Linked DNA regions of Struthio camelus. The protein of the gene in region 1 interacts with the protein of each later gene in a pairwise test. Links are inferred from orthologs where the notes say so. Each region holds a gene or a part of one and is shown on either strand. Other genes may lie near its edges. The genes, in order: CCNK and CDK18.

Region 1 (9,096 bases):
TACCCAGAGAGGCTGTGGAGTCTCCATCCTTAGAGATATTCAAAATCCAACTGGACAAGGTCCTGAGCAATCTGCTTTAATCAACCCTGCTTTCAGGAGGGGTTGGACTAGACAATCTCCAGAGTTGCCTTCCAACCCCAACCATTCTGTGACACCTCTTAAGGGCACCCCTTTAGACAACTAAGGTGTAAATACAGTCTTTCTTTCTGCCTACATGAACAGATAGTCTAACAAATAGTAAATAAAATACTATGTACTACTTTTGGTGTGCAGTTCTTCTCCCGAATATTTGGAATGCTCCCAGTCTGCAGAAATAGTATTTCTCAGTCATCTTTTAACCAAAGAACTTATTCATGAAAAAAGAAATTCTTAGACCACCTTGGACAGCGCTGTCTTTCTTAAAGAGAAGTTTTCACACATGATAAAGCTCGGAATTTTTGCAATCTGTTCACAGATCAACTTCTGACCATGGGTTGGGAACTTTACTTGCTGACTGGAAGAATTAAGGTTCTGGTAAAACTTCTATTTTTAAAAAAAACTTGAAAAAGCGAAATAAATAAAGGGAACAATACGAACATCTCTCCAGGTAAACATTTCTATACATTCTATACTTGTGCTCACATACATTCACAACATAACTGCAGACACCAAGACACTAGAGACTTAAATTACCTACAGGCAAATTTGCAAAACTGTATCTTTCAGAACTCTTCTTTTGAAGTATTTTAATAGAAACCAAAAACCTGAAAGTATCTGAAGCTATTATGTGGCTACAGCTATTAAGCTTTGTCATCAGGTAAGGGTAACTAACAAATGTTTCCAGGACTAGGCACAAAGATAACCACACTTGTTCCAACCCAGAGTTATTCAAGGTCTTTCCCCACACCACCACCCACTCTTGAGTGCTTCACTGGGGCAGGAAACAGAGTGCACCTTGGTTACCATTTATTCCCCTGCAGCCCTTCCCCATAATTCATATCCTCTTAAATTATCATCAATATAGGCACGCTGAGTGAGATCCAGCACATGGGAAGTACTGGACCTATGATGCAGGTTCCTTGGAAGAGGAAACCCACAGAAGATATCCTGTTTCCACTCTGCTAAAATAACAGTACATGAAGACTTGGGCACTAGTGTTATAAAGCATTAAAAATTTTCAAAGGAAGATTCTGCTATTTCTATTAGCTGCTTATTAAGACATACATGCAATGTTTGCACTGAAAGAGTTTTAATTTTTTGGGGAGTTGCATATTTCCATCGCTATCATACCCTACAATGTATTTGCTCTCATGCCCTACATATTATATAACATATAATATACATATAAAAATGTATGTGTATATATAATTTATAAAATATATTTTTAAAAAAATCTAGAAATTGACCTACATGCAAAAGAACCAAAGTGCTAGCACAAGAGCCCCAGAGATGCACTCTCCTTTCAGGCGCAGGTTGCTGGCACTCTAGCAGAAACAACTGCAAAGCAGCTAATTATAGCTGGTACATTTACAGTCCATCTTCAGTTACAAAGACAGTTTTGGCCTACATTAACACATTGGCTGAAAGCCATGGTAGTTCAAGCACAGTCATTCAGTCACTTCCAGCAGAGGTCCTTCAGAAATATTGAGAAGACATCAGAGAGTAAAACATAACAGGAAGTAGATACTAATCTGTCATCCCATGCATTTGACAGGGTTTAACAGCCTTGGGCTCAAAAATCCTTCTGAAATGTAGAAGAATCAAATTAGAAGTTCCATTTTCTTTTTTATTAGGACATCAGCAGCTAGAGGCTCAGAAACTCACCTTCCACCTTAACAGTGTATCACCTAGACCTGGCCAACTTTGAGGCATCTAAACACCTGTTCCCACGTATTCACTGGAGATAAAACTGAACTCAAAGTCACTCACATCTCAACACGCTTCAAAGAAAGACAACATGGAATTTTTCCTGCATCTGACAGATACTCTGCTCTAACCTGCATAACAGATCCCAGAAATGAAAACAAGATTTTAGTGCTACCTCTTCAGCATTCCAAAGAGTAAGGTACAGAAAAGTTAGCAGCAGAACTGCTGAACAGCATAGGAAAAGGGGTAAAGGACAGACAGGAACAGAACAACTGGAATAGTCAGTTGGTGGAAGAGATGTAGGGAAGAGCCAATGTAGGACAGAGGAGCTAAAAACAGAAAAAGGGAGCAAAGAAGGTTATGGCAGAGGAAGGGCAAGAGCAAGAACGTAAAGCAATGTAAAAATACTCGAGCACTAAACTTGTTTTTAATTACTACAATATAAGCTTCTTCACAGACTAAAACAGACAACACTAATGGGGCACTTTTACGGTAATATCAAAAACTCCTGCTGTGCTTTATTTATAGATTTGACTGGTCCTTTCACATAGTTTACACTTCATTTTTGCCTAAGATATTTTTAAACCTCTGAAATCAGATCTAGGAAGCTGAAGTACCTCTAAACTTAGTTGACAAAGGACAGTCAGAACTAAGTTCAGAATCCCGTTTACTGTACCATCAGTAAACAGAAGCTGTACCATCATAGGTTCACTAATATTATCGCAAGTCTAAAGCATCTGGAAAAAAGGTAAGTTAGCACTACTGCTGTACGCGCTGCACGCAACTACTCCGAAAAGAGCAAACTGTATTAAACCATTTCGATTTTAGGTGAAAGAAAAAATATATCATAAAAATATTACTATGATAAACAGCCAAGCCATAGAGTAATATCAAAAATAGTTACTAAAATTAGCTCAATGTTTATTTGATCCACTTATAAATTCCACCTATTTTACCAAATTCAGCTAGTTATCGGGAAGCAACTTCCAAAGACATTGAGTCTTATAATTAGAATCAAAGAACACTGTCTTGACAATACTTTGACCTGGCATGCTCAAAACACTCTTAAAACTACTAGAAAAGTAGGAAATGCGATCACTAGAGAGTCCGACATTATTTCTTTCACTTCTCTTGAACCTGATTAAATACTAAAACCAGAACTGCCTCAAATTAAGTATAAACTTCTGGTAAGAAACTCTTATATGGTAAATAACACAAAATGCTAAAGGGGTAAAGAAGAGTGGCAATATATAAGGCATCCAAAGACATGCTTTTGTATGTCAAACACTCTCACTTACCAGCTTGCTAATCCTGAACTGATTAATACCTAAAAATATGAGTTTTTTTCCCCGTTGTTCCACTGAAGCTTACTGTCTTCAGCAGGAGGAATGCTTCTTACTGTAAACACTTCCCTGAAGATCAGCGAAAGAGAGTTTATTAGCTGCCACACAGGCAACAGTTCAGGCTCTCTCTCTCAACGATTAATAACCTTTCCACATCCCTTATGAACCAGCTCCTTAGACATCTCTTTGACCAGAAGAGTAAAAATATTTACTCTGTACGAAAAAAAAAAAGCTGAAAACAATAAATAGACAGGCTAAACTCCCACTACTTTGCCATCCTACTCTTGTCATTTCATTTTTTACTTGAGTTTAGCTCTTTCTGAAGACTCCCACATAGTTTTTTCCAAATTCCTTTCTTTAAAGTAAAAAGAATGAAAACTGATGCACTCTCTTTTTATTCATATATTTTTAAATATAGTCTTCACTTATAAAATATTAATCTCACTTTATAAATCTAAAACTCACAACTGAGAATCAAGCAAGTCACCCTGGTTCAGACATCAGGGCACAGACAGAACTTGCAAAACAGCCCAGGCCTCCAAAAAGACTTGTTGCTTAACACACCGGCATCATATGTCCTACCTTACTTTACCAAGTGCTGAACATTATGATGTTTTGGTAGCAAAAATACAGATCCCCTGAGATCTCTAATACCCTCAGACTGTCTCTTTCTTTTAAAGAATCACCACCAAAACACTCATCTTCTGCAAAATACCCAATACATCAGTTGCACTGTATGAGCAGTATCATTATGGTGAAATATTATACCTAAGTTCATTGCATTAATTACAATAAAAATGTCACGAAGACGTTCACTTTTCTATACAGAGGGACATAATGGGTTTTATTTTTAAAGTATGTACAATATCACAACTAGAAGCCTATTTAAAAATTTAGATCCAACTTCGGCATATAGCTCAGACCATCCCTAACTGGAAACAGCAATATACAGATTACAAATTATTTCAGGGCTTAAGCTTCTCCCTCCCTTGCCAAGACCCTAGATCTATCTGTACGGGTGCCATGACAAGGATGTATTTTTCAGATTTTATTTCAACACATACTTCAATCCAGCTAGCTAAACATAACTGAAACCTCCATTAAAGTGAAAGCTAGCATGCTTGAATCTTTACCATATTAAATAACCTAACTGAGCACAAATATCTGAAAATACCGTCCTCTTTTGGCCCATCATGCTATTCTCTCTAACAACTTCTACACCTGCTTACTATTTTATACATAAACAAGATATCAGACATGTAGAACGCTACAGCCTCTTACTCATGTACAGTAGTTTCAAAATGCTTTATTTTGAACTGCCACTCTAACGTAGAGGTTAGGAAATTGTTCAGAACTAGAGACACATGCAAAATACAGCCTCAACTTAAGCAACTCTATACAAGTCCTGCTCCGAGTAGGAAAGGAAGATGAGGAACAGTTTCAATACAAGTTCTGTTTCAGCAACTTCTGTAGTAATATGGAGAGGTTGCAAAACCCAGGCTGTTGCAGGAGTAATTCCCACTCAGATAAGCAGTTTGAATCATATTTGGCCTAAATGTAAAACGTTTATTCTAATTTTAAGTCACTTTTTTTCCTATTAGGTTTAGCCCCTTTATAAAAGCAAGTTCCAGATTGCGTGAGAAAAAGAAACAAAATAGAGTGCTCTTTCACTGCCATGGAAAGGCACTAAAGAATCGCATACCAGCAGAACTGTTACTGAGCCAGATCCTGAGAACTGGAGGTATGGGAGGCTTTGGAAAGCTAGAGAAGTAGGAGTAGCGAGTATTCAAAATGTGTCACATGTAAAAAAAGGAATTACATCATGGAGAAAGCAGTTTTAAGCCATTTGTTTAACTCCGCTTTCTTATCAACGCCTGGGGGATGGGACAAGGGAAACGAGCATTAAGAAGTGAATGCCACTGCCTCAACTCACTCTGAAATCACGCCGCTCGGGTTTAAACAAAACCCACCCACGTCGGAGCAGAAGAGCAAACAGGCAGTGGGCCGCGGAGAGCACGCCAATCTCCGCTGGCAAGTAAGTGGGAGAGAGAAACAGGATGACGAGTGGGAGCCGCGAGGCGGAGCGGCGTCACCCCGCTCCCCGCGGCGGGCGGCACGGAGGCTGCCTCGCCCCCGACGGGCGGGCCGGCCGGCCGGCCGGTGCTGCCCCGCGAGCGAGGGGGGGGCGCGGCGCGTGGGCGCGCGGCGGCTAACGGCCGGCTAACGGCCGCCCGCGAGGGCGCGAGTGGGCGCCCAGCCTGCCCGCCACGGCGAGGCGGGGGCTGCCACGGAGCCGAGCGCGCGGGGCAGGGGGGAAACGCCGCGGGGAGAGCGCCTGGGGACAGCGCCGTGACGGGAGCGAAGGGGGCGGCGAGGCCTGGGCCGGCGCTGCGCGCCCCGCGGCGGGGAGGAGGGTGTCCGGAAAGAGTTGCGCGTCCCACAGGAAGGGGAAGCGGCGGGGCGGGCGGCGGGGCGAGGTTCCTCCGGGGGCCGAGGGAAGGCGCCGCTCCCCGCCGGGAGGGGGTCCGGGCCGGGGGCAACGGGATTGGGGCGGGGGGGAGTTGGTGGCCAGCGCTGGCCTCCCACTCAGCGGGCGGGGGGGCGCCGGGCGGGGCCCCGCCTTACCTCCCGCCCGGCGGCGGCTGTGCCTCGCCCGCTGCGAGCGGCGCCGAAGCCGAGCTCCTCTCACCGGACACCGCTGCCGGGGGCGGGCGGCGGCGGCCGAGCTAGCCCGAGCCCCGCACTCCCAGCGCCCGGCCCCGCCCGCGGCCCCGCCCCGCCCTCCGCCGCCGCCATTGGCCCAGCCGGGCCGACAAGGAAGACCCCGCCCCCTCCGAGGCCCGTAGCGGCCAATCCCCAGCGACCACCCCTTCGCCTTCGCTACCGGTCTTGGAAAAGGGCATGGCTGCTTCCCTCCCATTGGCTGCAGTTTAATCCGTGCCTCCGGCTTCTTACTGGCTGGCTCGGCTTGCAATCTTCTCGCTCCTGCTTTCTGATTGGTCATTCTAAGGCTACGGGAGCGCGTCGCGTGCCTCCTCCTCGAGCTTCGCAGACGCTGAAGGAGACGGGATTGGCTGCGGGGGCTGCTGGCTCTCATTGGCCGTTAGACGGCAGCGGCTCGGCGCTTGCGCGCTATGCCCTCGTGACGTCGGCGTGATGACGCAGAGAGCGGCCTGGCCTGGTTCCCAAGATGGCGGCGCGCAGGGAGCGGAGGCCGCGCTGTCGTTAGTGGCTCTGCGCTCCTGTGGGGTTTCCTCTCCTGTGCGTGGCCTGTGAGTGCGTTACGGGGCGCGGGGGGGGGGGCACCGGGGCGGCCCGCCTTCTCCGCGCCGTGGCCTGGGGGGCCTGGCTGGGGAGGAAGAGAAAGCAACGGGGAGGCTGCAGTGTCTGGCCGGGACAGGGAGCGAGCGCCCGCCCGGGCTCCGGAGGCCTCGTCTGCGGCGGGAGGAGCACCGGGGGGGCCGGGAGGAGCTGCCCCCACCCGGCCTGGGGGCTGCCGAGGCTGGGCGCTGTCAACTAGTTTGTTCAGAGAAGAAGAACAGAACAAAAAAAAAACTGAATCTTCTCTCTAAAGTCTTTTCACCTTTACGAGGTGGTAAAGAAAAATCTCAGGCCCCGTGTTATTTTGCTTTTGATTATTGTGGTCTTAATTGGAGAGTTTGAGGTGATTGCTTGGAATTCGCCTTTAGGGGTTTTAATATTTTGCCTGTTTGTTTTTTACAGATTTTCATTTGGGGATGGTTTTAGTGCTCATAAAAGCAGCTCTCTCGTTGCTTTTCAGAAAGGGAGTTTTAATGTTAGTTGAGCTTTAAACTACTTAGAACTTTAAGCATCAAAACGAACTTTGAAGAAAATGGTCTCCAAAACTTGCGGAAATAATACTTGATAATGGCAATGGGAGCGCGTGGTGATGCCACTGAACTGTTTTGCTGACTCTAGAAATGCTTTCAAGTAGCTATTCACTTATTTGTGACAGAGGTTGGGTTGATCTGTCACTAGTAAGACAGTGGAGGGTCTCCATATGTGAATACGGAGCAAAGGTGGTTTCCTTTGTTCTGAAAAAGAGAAACTTTCTGAAGGTAGAGAAAGGTATTTATTGTAGGCATAGGTATTCTGACTGTTCATGTAGTTTTCTTTTACTTTTGCGAGGGAAACATTTGGAAAATTAAGCTTAGCTTAATTTTAACAGCTTTACATTTGAGTCTTTCTTGGATTGTTATGCTTAGAGCAGTAAATTATATCGTCTGTTAATTAACATTCCCTACAGGAACCTTTGCAGGTGACTACAGTAGTTTGTGAGTAGTATCTCTAGTTTATTGAATTGCAGTAAAATAGTCTTATCCCTGTTTTCTAGTCTGAAAGAGATAAAGGTGCGAAGACAGTCTTCATTCTCTCTTTTAAGTGAGACATACGTGAACATCGGTCATAACCTAAATGCCAACAAGTTATCTGTGGAGCTGTATGCTGTCAATATAGATTTGTGATGTACAAGTCAGCACAGGAAAATAACATACTAATTGAGTGTAATCAGTTGCCTCATTTTGGAGGTGGTTTTAGATGGCACAGTACCATACAGACTCACATTACTGGTCTTGATCTTTATTTTTTTTCCTTTTTTTTCTTTAAATAACATACACACACAATTTACAAAGCTTTATGCCGAATTATTGCCACCATCTTACCACCCAGATATATCCAAGAGATCAACTATGTGTTTAAATTGCCATTCAGCCGGACCTAATGGATGGGTTTCTTAGTTATTGAACAATGGTCTGAATTAAAATTTTATTTTTTTACCACTTCAAATCTTGCTGTTACCATCATTGAATTGTTTTTCCTTATTTTGTGGACAAAGTAAGTGAAATTTGTACTGCTAAAAATAAGTGTTTTTAATAGTGTACTTTTGAATTTCTTTATTAAAGGGTTACTATCAAAGATGACCTTTGTTCTTTGAATTGAATTCCCAATATATGGGGGAGATAAGGGAGAGGTTAAGTATGACTTGTCTTTGAGAAGGGATAAAAAAGTTCCCTTTCTGGTATTTTTAAAGACATATGTTTTCCTTTTCTTAAAGGTTCTAGAGCTACTACCCGAAGACTTTCTTTTGAAAACTTAACAAGCAAGAACACAATTCTATTTTAATAAATGAAGGAGAATAAAGAAAATTCCAGTCCTTCTGTAAACTTGGCAAACCTGGACCATACAAAGCCATGCTGGTATTGGGATAAGAAAGATTTGGCACATACACCTTCGCAGCTAGAAGGGCTGGATCCAGCTACGGAAGCAAGATACCGCAGGGAGGGGGCCAGATTCATATTTGATGTAGGAACACGCTTAGGCCTGTATCCTTTAAATTCATGATGGTATAAAATGTCTTTTTGAATTGAGGTTTTAAAAATAAAACATACTAAAAATGGCTTTATTTGCTTAGTCATTCAGATGTTATTTTGCCAGTAATTACAGTGAGTTTCACTGCCTTTTCGTGTAACGCATTCCTACGTAACTTTTATCCATTTATTGGATAAATAAGGTTGCAGCTGAACTCTGAGGGCAACAGGGAGGGACGGTGGTATAGACTTTCCAGTTATGTATGACTTTTGGCAGTTATCAGACTTGGTCTCTTACTGGATTAATCTGTAGAACTTCTTAAATTTTGAAATTTGCACTTTTTCTGTGTTATTTTGCCTCTGAGGCCTCTAACTTATGTCCCTCTCCCCATTTTTGTTTAGGGTCGTGTTTACAATTTTGTATGCAATAGTGATTTCTCACCACTATCTGTCTCTGTCTCTTATAGATTGCCACTTACATTTTTTGGTTCCTACGTTCTTGGTACTCCTTTGTTCGGTAAAACCTGACAAGGATGAATTTTCACTTTTATCCTTAAAGGAAAGAATAGGGAGCGTATCTA
Region 2 (9,339 bases), on another chromosome or scaffold:
GGCTCTGTGTCCGTCATGCGCGTGCAGTTCTGCTGTCCTACAGACCAAACCCTCTCTTGGCTTTCTCTTTTGGAAGTGTTCTCTTGACATACATCATCCCTCTCATGCCTGCTAAAGTTTCTGCCTGCATCAGTGTTTTGGGAAGCCAGAGCTGGGTTGGATCCCTCATTTAGGCTGAAAATAGCTAGCAGACTGAGTGGTAAGCATCGAATCCTGGCTTAACATGCTGAGGCTGTCGGTCAGCAGTGAGGAAGTCCCTTTCCGGTGCCACCCAAGCTGTTCTTGCTGAATCGTGCCAGCCTGCTGACATGGCTCCTCCCTTTCCATCCATCCATTCCTATGGCATAAGGCTAGGAAGAGTCATTATTCTCCAGCCAGACCTCCTGCACTGCCTAGGCCAGATGATTGCACCCTGCTAATAGGCCTCTTGTTGGTTTGGGCTGGAAAGCCACTTCTGATGCTCTTCTTGACCATTGGGTGTTTCTTGTATGGCTGGTCTCGGTCTGAGTAGGGACTCCCACTTTCTCTTGGCAGGAAACGCCAAACACTTTGGTATTTCTGGTGTACACTGAACAAGAGAAGCGTTTGATCTGTTGTTTGCCCAGGCACATTCCCCTACAGTACTTTAACCCCAGCATTCCTCACTCCCAAGAAGGAAGCAGAGATTTAAGCTGCTTGGGGTACTTACTCATCTCTTTCCAGTAGAGAGGATTGTTCAGCATACTGCTCGCCCTGTGAACTGCCTTGGAAAAAGGGAAGCTTGTCAGTGAGTCAGTGGGGAGAGAGATGGATTGTTCCCTGAAAAAGTAACTTATCTCCTTTCTGCTCTTGCTTCACACCATATCATGAGGGACAAGGTCCACTCGTGGGAGCAAACTCCTTTGGTGCTGGCATTAAGTTGCTTTAGAAACACAGCAGTCTCTCCCAGCAGAGTGTCTCTGTGAAGCTAAGATGCTTTGACCTCTAAGAAGCACCTCCTAAACCCACCTGGACAGTTGAGGAGGCCAGTGCAAGGCCTAAGTGTTGTTATGTGGCCATCAGCTCCAGTTCTGCGTGTTGGCCTTGTGCCTGCTTTAAGGCTTTCCCTCTCTGCTGTGTAATAGACAGGAGGGCACACGCAGCCCTGAGCGAAATGTGAAAACCAAAGGCCAAACTTACTTACCTTCTAGTAATGCCTGCTGCCTGCAGGGCGGTGGATGCTTTTGATCCAAAGCTACTCACTGGAGGAGAAGTGTTCATCATACTCTCCTTGTGCATTTCTCTGGCTATGTCCACCATGCTGCATGCAGTTTTGCAATGGAATACATCTACAGTAGGATCCTGGAGGAAATACTTTGTGCATAATTTTTACTTTTTCATAATTTGGCAGCTTCTGGTTGCTAAGTGCGTGAGTCTCTGGATTGGTGCATCCGTTGTTATGGTGATGCTCCATGAGCAAAATTAAGAGGAGCTGCTGCTGGGATTCACCAGTTTGCAATTGGCTTGCTGGTTGCCATGGTCAGCTGTATTTTGGCCAACTATACTTTGTGGATAGTGACTTTATTTTGTGTGAAGCATGCAGCACATTAACTTTTGCAGTGATTTTTACCTCCTTTAGTTTCAGGGTGATTGGTCTTTTAAGGGAGTTAATGGATTCATTTCTCGTGTGTGTGACAAGAGTAGACTGCAGTTTGTCTGGGCTCGATTATGGATGTTGTCGGAGCTTTGCAGTGTGACCTTGAGGTAGCTCTCTTAGCAGTTGGAATCAGCGCTAGTGTGCATTAACAAGGCTATCGGAACTTGTCTGTCTTTCTCCTATACCTCAGTTCACCTATCTGTAAAACGGGAATAACAATATTCCTTTTGTCTTGCCCATTTACGTTCCCGGAGTCAGTGGAGTTGCAGATGCCCAACAGAGGTGCAATTTATGGGGGTGACTCTTAGACGGGGTGACCTAGAGCAGTTACACCCCTTGTTAACACTATGCAGAGTGGCATGCACACACTGAGCCTTGTGGTGCTGTAGCAGCCACCCTCCAGATGACAGAAGTGTTTTCATGTGGCCTCTCCAGCACTCCGTAAAAGCAGATCCGGACGTGTCGGACTGGGCCCTTTAACACAGGGGCCATTTGCCAGTTTTCCTTGTTTTAACAGCCAGCCTTTAAACTAAAGCGCTCTGATGGTTGCTGAAATGCAGCACTGCTCTCTGGGCAATGATTTCCACATGCCTGCGCGTGCACAAGGGAGAACTGTCCATGGGCAGGGGAGGGACTGAACACATTTTCTTTCCATGACTCGGTGCCTGCACTACTATTGAATGTCAGGGCAATGGGAAAGGGAATTGCTGCCTGGATGCAGTGACTGTAAAATATTCCCTGCGGACCTGCACACAGCCACTTGCCTTGAAGCAGGACACATGCGTGCCCACGTGAGTTTAGTAGTGGAGAAAACACGCTATGAGCATCTGGGGATGTGGAGGGATGCTCTGTGTGGCAGGGGAATGAGGCCAGAAGAGCTACAGGCGGAAAACAGGTGAAATCCCCCTGGAGCTGACCTGTGTTTCATAGACGAGGCAAGCACATTCATGTTGCTGTTTCTCTAACGCTCCAGTCTTGGTCATCACTAATATACTTTCTATATTTATTAGGATTGCCTGGCCTTTAATGAGTGGTGAGAGGACTAGGTTGCAAATTGGAGCTCTGAACCTTTCTCTAGGCAGACAGTAATGCCTACTGGGCGAAGCACTGTTCAGCAGTCGTATCTTTTTAAACTGGGTCTTATTGGGTCTGGCACTTCATCGCTTGGTCAGTTTTGGCACCTTCGCTCCATGCAGCTCCCTGCTAAGCACATCCGAACAGCTTCAGCTTTGGCTTTGACTCGATGCCTCCTGGCTTGGCAACGGCGTAGGTGAGCTCCTGTCTCTCCGCAGGTCACTGCACAGGGAGCGTATAACTTCTTGCGACAGGCGGGCAGGGCTGCCTCCAGTCTGGGGGAAGGTATTAAATGAGGGCTAAACAGCTTGTAACAAAAACTGCAGATTCTTATACCTGTCCGCAATGGGCACTCCCTACTGAAGTCACCAAGGACAGGTTGCTCCTTTCCACTTGAATCCATCTGAAGACTGCTGTCACTGCTGCTCAGCTTTTTGCCCTTTAGGCTAAACAGCCTGAACTCCCTCAGGCTCCTCCTAAGGCAGGTTTCCCAGCCCGCTGGCTGTTCATGCAGCTAGCCTTGGCACTTTCCTCCCTCTCTGCTGATGCTGGGTGCCGAGGGCTGGATGGAGTGTCCCCGATGGGGCCTCAGCCCTGCAAGGGAGAGCAGGGGAGGTTTTAATGTGTCTGGCTAGAAGCCACATGGAGAACATACATGAGGCAGAGGATTTTTTTACAGCACAGGCGCTGCACTGGCCCTAGCTCCATGCTGTGCTCCCAGAGCCCCCTCCTCGGACAAGTTTGCACGAGGACAAGGTGTGCACACCCTGGGCTTGCCCTCGTGCTGGCCGTACCTCTGGGACCAGCTCCCTCAGTGTGGGATTGTGCTCCCCACCACCCCGAGGCTGCACTCACCCCTCCGTGCTCTTTCTCACATCTCTGCAGAGGTGTTTGCTGACGGAGAGTGTTCTGGAGAAGAGCAGCCCTAGCAATCCCCTTGGGTCTGTGATTAAAATGCTACTCAGGATGCTGCAGCCTTCCCTGCTGCTTTTGGAAAATACTCTCTAGCTTGCATGCTGCTTGCAGTGTACAAAACAGAGGTAACATTTCCCTCTGGCTTAACAAAGTGGCCCAGCTCAGCAGCACTTGCTGCTCTGTCTCAGGGGTGGCTCTTCAGCAGAGGTGAGGAGGGTGAGTGATGTTGTGGCTCGAGAGCAGAAACAGGATTCCTCCTACAGAGAAGATGGATGTGTTCCTCTCTGTTGAAAAGGATGTCTGCCTTGCGGAAGCTGCGCAGGCAACTATAGGTGTAAATTGCGTTTGTAACTTGTGAGGAGTCCTAGGACTGTGCCAATGGCATGACCAGGTCAGAGCCATCATCCTTGCTTATGTGCATCACAGCCCCACTCGGGGATAGGATCCAACCTGCCGTGCCTGTTTGGGTAGAGACAGACACTAACATGCAATTCTCTGTCTCTGCTTGCTGTAGCCTTCTCTCTTTCACACCTCCTCCTTCTCTTCTCTCCCAAACAAATGTGCAGTTGGGGTGAGATTCTCTTTGCAGGAAGGTGACCACAGACAGGCGCAGGGGTGAGGAAGCAAGGCCTGTATCTTTAAGAGATGCAAGTGATATCAAAAAGGGAGAGCAGCTGTGGGCTGCATTCCAGCAGTCCTCTGACTGCACCAGGCAAGCGACATGCTAGGAACTGCGTAAGTGGAGGAGGGCAGGGGTTTGCTGAGCAAAGTATCCCCCAGCATGAGCTGAGGTGATCACAACCAAGGACTTCTGCAAAGTCTTACAGTTTCCCAGCCAGATCCATTTTCTGCAAAATACTCCTGACTGCAGTGAGCCCATCTTCACCCCAGATTTCCCCCGAAAGTCCATGAAGCTGTGCAATTTCACTGTGACAATGCAAAAAGGAAAAAAATAACCCTGCAAAAACAGAGTAATTCCAGAAAATCTTGCAAAAAAACCCCAAGCATATCTGTCTTCTGCTCAGCCATGAAGTTGGCACATTTGAAAAATGCCCTGCAGGCATTGCCTTGCAAATGCACTGCTCAGTATTGCAGAGGCATCCACTGGTGGGTGCCAAGTTCAACACCAGTGACCTCAGACCATGTTGCCCTTCAAAGAGCACACATTAAGGGACAGTTTGCTTTGGGCTATTATTGGTGGAACGGACGCAGCCCCATTACACTGTGTAGAGTCTAGTTAGTACTGTGCTAGAGTCTGCTGGGGAGATGTACTGTGTTTTTGACCCGCATGCTTGTGAACACCTATCACGCCGTGTAATGTGGCTCCTTTCCCGTTGTGTCTGTGAACGCACAGGCACAGGAATCTCTCCTTTTCTGGCTGTACCAGCGAAGTGCTTTGTCTCTCCACATCCTCCTCTCAAAGTCATCCCCATCAGGATTATAGCGATCCCTTCCTGGCGTGGTGATTATTGTAATTTATGTTTATGAGGAATATCACGCACCAATAAGCAGCTTGTGAAACACAGCCGCTAAGCTTGTGTCTCTGTCCACTAATTGCTTGTAACAACTGCTTCTTTCCCCTTGCACATCACCTCTTTCTCTTACAGAGCTGGTTTCTTTGTCAATCTCCAGTTCTGGGGCTTGTTCCACCTAACTAGATACAGCTTTTGCTGGGGTTATCCTCTGCTTTCTGTATTAAAATGAGCTTATAGTGCCAGGTGAGCAGCTGTCAGAGCTGTGGTATGGAGCGAGAGGCAGCAGTTGTTATGCTGAGGGCTGCACTGTGCTGGGAACTGCGCATAAATGTTTGAGACATCTCTCCACCCGAAGCCATCCCTGCTCTAAATAGATGAGACAGATGAGGGTGGAAGTTAGAGGTATGCCAGAGCCTGGCTGGACCACTGGGCTAAGGAAAACGTGCCAGTTTCTGCAGCCAGTGGTGTAAAGGGAACGTGATGGCTAACGTCACACAGAGCTGCCTCTGATTTTCCAGCCCACATGACCAGGTACTCATTGACTAGGGGTTAAGGGAGGGCAGCCTTCCACAGAAGCTGAGAGCCAGCCTTCACACTTTGCTTCTGGATCTGTGGTCTTTGCTGCTCCTCCCCAAGCCCCGCAGAACGAAGGATGCAGATCCCCGTTTTGCAGGTGGGGTGGGTTGGTGGGACACAGGCGGCTTGCCCAGCGTCGCGGAGGACTGGATCGTAGCCCTGCTGCAAAGTTTGCGTTAGTCCCCAGCTGGGTACTGTGCCCCAAGTGTGAACTCCCACATCTACTCCTGGAGGGTGAGTTGCAGTTCAAAGCCTATTCAGGCCTGTGTGCTCAGACTAGACTTACATTCACATGCTCGCTAAATGAGTTGACTGGAGAGCTGGTGTCAAATGTTTTACCCCATGCACAGAGTGGGTGAGTGTTGCTAAGGGCTTCAGGTCTTGGCTGAGTGTTGCTATAGACAGGGTGAAGGTGAACAAACAAAATGGAGTTTTGAACAGCGTGGCAGAACATCCCTTTCCCCCACGAGGTGCTCAGTTTTTATGCTTTTGCAATGCCATCTGGGAACCAGTTCTCTCTTCCTCAAAGTGTCTTCCAGCAAACTTGATGATTCTAATACAAGAAATGAGAGTTAGCAAGTTTCCCAAGACTCCCACATTCAGAAAGGAAAAGGGAAAGAGGAGTTCTGCGAGCAGCAGAACGAAGGAAGCCCAGATTTGTGTCTTCTGGATAGTCTTCCTTGTGGATTCTCAGATGTCTGGCAGGAAGTTCATCCTACATGCTTTCCTGAGATAGGATTTCCCTCTAGAGAGCTTCTGCCCTCTGTCTTCCTCCTCACCAGCTCTGCTGCGTGTCCTCAGGGTTCCCCTTCCCCATTCCCTGCGTAGATGGATTTTGTCCCTTCCCTGCACAGGTGTCCTGCTACCATCCCTCTGTCTTCCCCAGCCGCAAAACCTTTTGCACATCCCTCAGATTTGAGCATAACATCCCATTAATTTACAAAACTCTCCTGACAGGATGGTCTGTAGAGGGAGGGCAAGGATTAATATAGCAGTGGATATAAGAAACTAATTAGTTTCAACAGATGATGTTGGCACCTCCAGTCAGCCTGATTTATTTCCATGGTTGGTCTATTTTTGGCAAACTGAGAACGCTTGCCTAAGTATAAGGCAATAAATAGTTGCAGCGCGGAAGGCGAAGCTGCTGCTAAACGCGCAACCCTGCTGGAGCCACAGCGGCCAAAATTTCCGAGGCTGCCCAAGGGCCGCCCGCGCCTTAGCACTTCCCACGGGCTGGGGAAGGCAGAGCCGGGCTGCCAGCCGGCCTCAGCCTCCCGCTTCTGCCCAGGCTGCGGGGTGCCGTGCGCGCCCCGCGCAAAACCGAGGGCCGCCGCATCCGCCCGCAGCCTCAGGGACGGGTAGGAAGAGCTGCAGGAGGGAACTCCCCTGACCTCTCGGCTGAGGGTGCGGAGGGGTGTGTGTGTGTGTGTGCGTGCGTGCGTGTGCAGCTCCCCAGCCTGCAGAGCAGCTCGGCGCCCGGCCGCGCAGGGCGAGCAGGGCCGGCTCCAGCCCGCAGCAGCTCCCGGCGCATCCCCGGGCCAGCGGGGAGGGCGCTGGGGCCGAGCGCGGCTTGTTTGCCCGCGGCTGCGCTGGGGAGGAGCCAGCGCGGCACGGAGCGAGCGAGCGAGCTGCCGGCACCGCTCCGGCACCGGCACCGGCACCGGCGCCGCTGCAGCGCTGCTCCGGTTCCCGCTCCGGCACCGCTCCGGCGCTGGCCCCGCACCCCCGCGGAGAAGCTGCCCCTCTCTTCTCTCCGGGACCCGGCTGGGCACGGCGGCGCCGCTGCGGCAGGAAGGAGGAAGGAGATTGAGCTGCCCCCGTGGCCCGGTAAGTGCCTGGTGTAAACAGAGCAAAGGTGCAGCCGGGAGAGGGGCCCGGGCTGCCCCCCCCCCCCTTGCCCCCAGCAGCCGTTTGGCAGGGGCTGTCGCTCCCTTTGGAAGGACGGAGGGAAGGTTTCGGGACTGTTTGGGCACAAAGTGTTAGAGGAGGGGAGAGAAGAAGTTGGAGATGTGGTGAGGGAGGGTATTGGTGACAATCGGATTTATACAAGCGCAGCAAGAATTTATACCGGTCCCTTCCCTGGTGGATGAGATCCCTTGAATGTTTTGGTGGAACCATCCTAAAAGGGGTTTAGGCAGCCCTATACCACCGCCCTGCTGTCAGTATCGACTTGTCCAACGTGTGCTGTTTGCACACCTCTAGTGTGGGACCGTCTGGGAAGGAAGCAGGCAGGCTGAAGGGGAGGACGCTGCTGTCTCCAGTGTGAAAGTTGCCAGGGCTGCTTGCTGGGGGGATGCCACCAGGGTGTCTGCCCGGTGTGTTCCCCTGCTCAGGCAGGAGTCATTCTGCTGGCTGGTTGCAAGCACGGCGTTCTCCTTGCGCTGCACTTTTTGCGGCTGTCGGTATCAGCTGCATCTCACCAGTGCGCCTGTTGCTCTGACAAAGTTCCTAGGGGTGTGGAGAACTTGTCCCCAGAATGCCTGTTCCCGTCCTCACTGGCAAGGAGCTACCCAGGCAAGACAGCCTGTTGAGAGCTTGTCTCCCTGCTATGCCAGCACTGGCTCCTGTGCCAGTTGCGCTTCAGCAGACTGGCTCTTCTCGGCACAAAAACAAACTGGAATGAGCATGCAGGCTGGTGGGCACAATGGTGGCATTAACTCTGAAAGGGAGGAAGCATCAGGGTCAGGCCTGGGGCTGCTGGCATTGGGCTTTTTGTGCTCTCCACCAGCCAAATGAGTGGTGTGACATATGTGCATGCTGGGGGTTGGAGAAAGGACCTAAAGGGGAGGGGAAGTGCTTTGAACAAGCAGCAGGCAGAAAGTTCATGCCTCTGGATGAGTTTTGTAAAAAGGTGAGTGCCCTCTTCCTGCAAGAAAAATGGGATTTCATTTCCTTTTCAGTGGCAATTGGGCAGCATGTAGAGCTGCAGCATGCACTAACACAAAGAGCTGGAGCATGTGGTTAGATGCAAACTGAGCCTTGTCCTCCAGCCTCATGAGGCAGTGACAGGGTTTCTGGGTCACCCCATCTGTGGAGAGGTCACCAAAAACGTCTGAAAAGACAATCCTGAAATTCTATTCCTTTGATACAAACACCAGACCAACACTGATGGTAACTGATTAGTTACTATCGGTGCTGGTGATTGGCACTTAGCTCTCAAAGTGCATTTGTAGTCTAGAGCATCCTTTCCTCCCTGGAGGAAACACAAGCACATCAATAGGACCTGATGTGTCCAAGAGCCTGAAGCAAAGAAGGAGCAGAGGCAGGAACAGAAGGTGGGAACCTGGATCGCCAGGTAGCACCCTGTGCATGAAGCTGTACTGTTTCTTCTGTGTGTGTGTGTGTGTGTGTGTGTGTGTCCCCTTTGCTCTGATTTTTAGTCTTTTTTTCCACTGTCATACCAGAAAACTTCTGTGCCAGTTTTGATGTCCATTCTTCAGGCAGGACCACATCCCTTTAATGGGAGGTTTTGCAGATTTCACAGATTTGTTTCCAGGAGCCCAGACTCATGCACAAAAAAAGCATGGATGCCCTGTCGGGGGAGGGTCAGGGTGAATTAAGAAATCAGTAGTGGGATAACCTCCCCAGCAAAGGCTGGGAGTTCCTGCACTCTTATTCTGCTTGGAAAAGAGAAGAAATGTTGTGGCTAAAGAACAGGACTGTAGAGATCTGACTCTGTTGCTG

The links.
Region 2: the proteins of CCNK (region 1) and CDK18 interact in binary tests that used the Homo sapiens proteins (3 or more experiments, as listed by UniProt). The two-hybrid records come from large-scale screens. The link is inferred for Struthio camelus from reciprocal best matches to the Homo sapiens genes CCNK and CDK18.

The regions. Positions count from the first base shown.
Region 1 is NC_090946.1:69,597,629-69,606,724, forward strand, and holds the start of CCNK (cyclin-K), read left to right. Parts: upstream 1-5,109; 5' UTR 5,110-5,223; intron 5,224-5,813; exon of another isoform or gene 5,814-5,961; intron 5,962-6,198; 5' UTR 6,199-6,460; intron 6,461-8,262; 5' UTR 8,263-8,333; coding exon 8,334-8,530; intron 8,531-9,096. UniProt on the Homo sapiens protein: Regulatory subunit of cyclin-dependent kinases that mediates activation of target kinases.
Region 2 is NC_090965.1:7,314,058-7,323,396, forward strand, and holds the start of CDK18 (cyclin-dependent kinase 18), read left to right. Parts: upstream 1-5,827; 5' UTR 5,828-5,889; intron 5,890-7,073; exon of another isoform or gene 7,074-7,482; intron 7,483-9,339. UniProt on the Homo sapiens protein: May play a role in signal transduction cascades in terminally differentiated cells.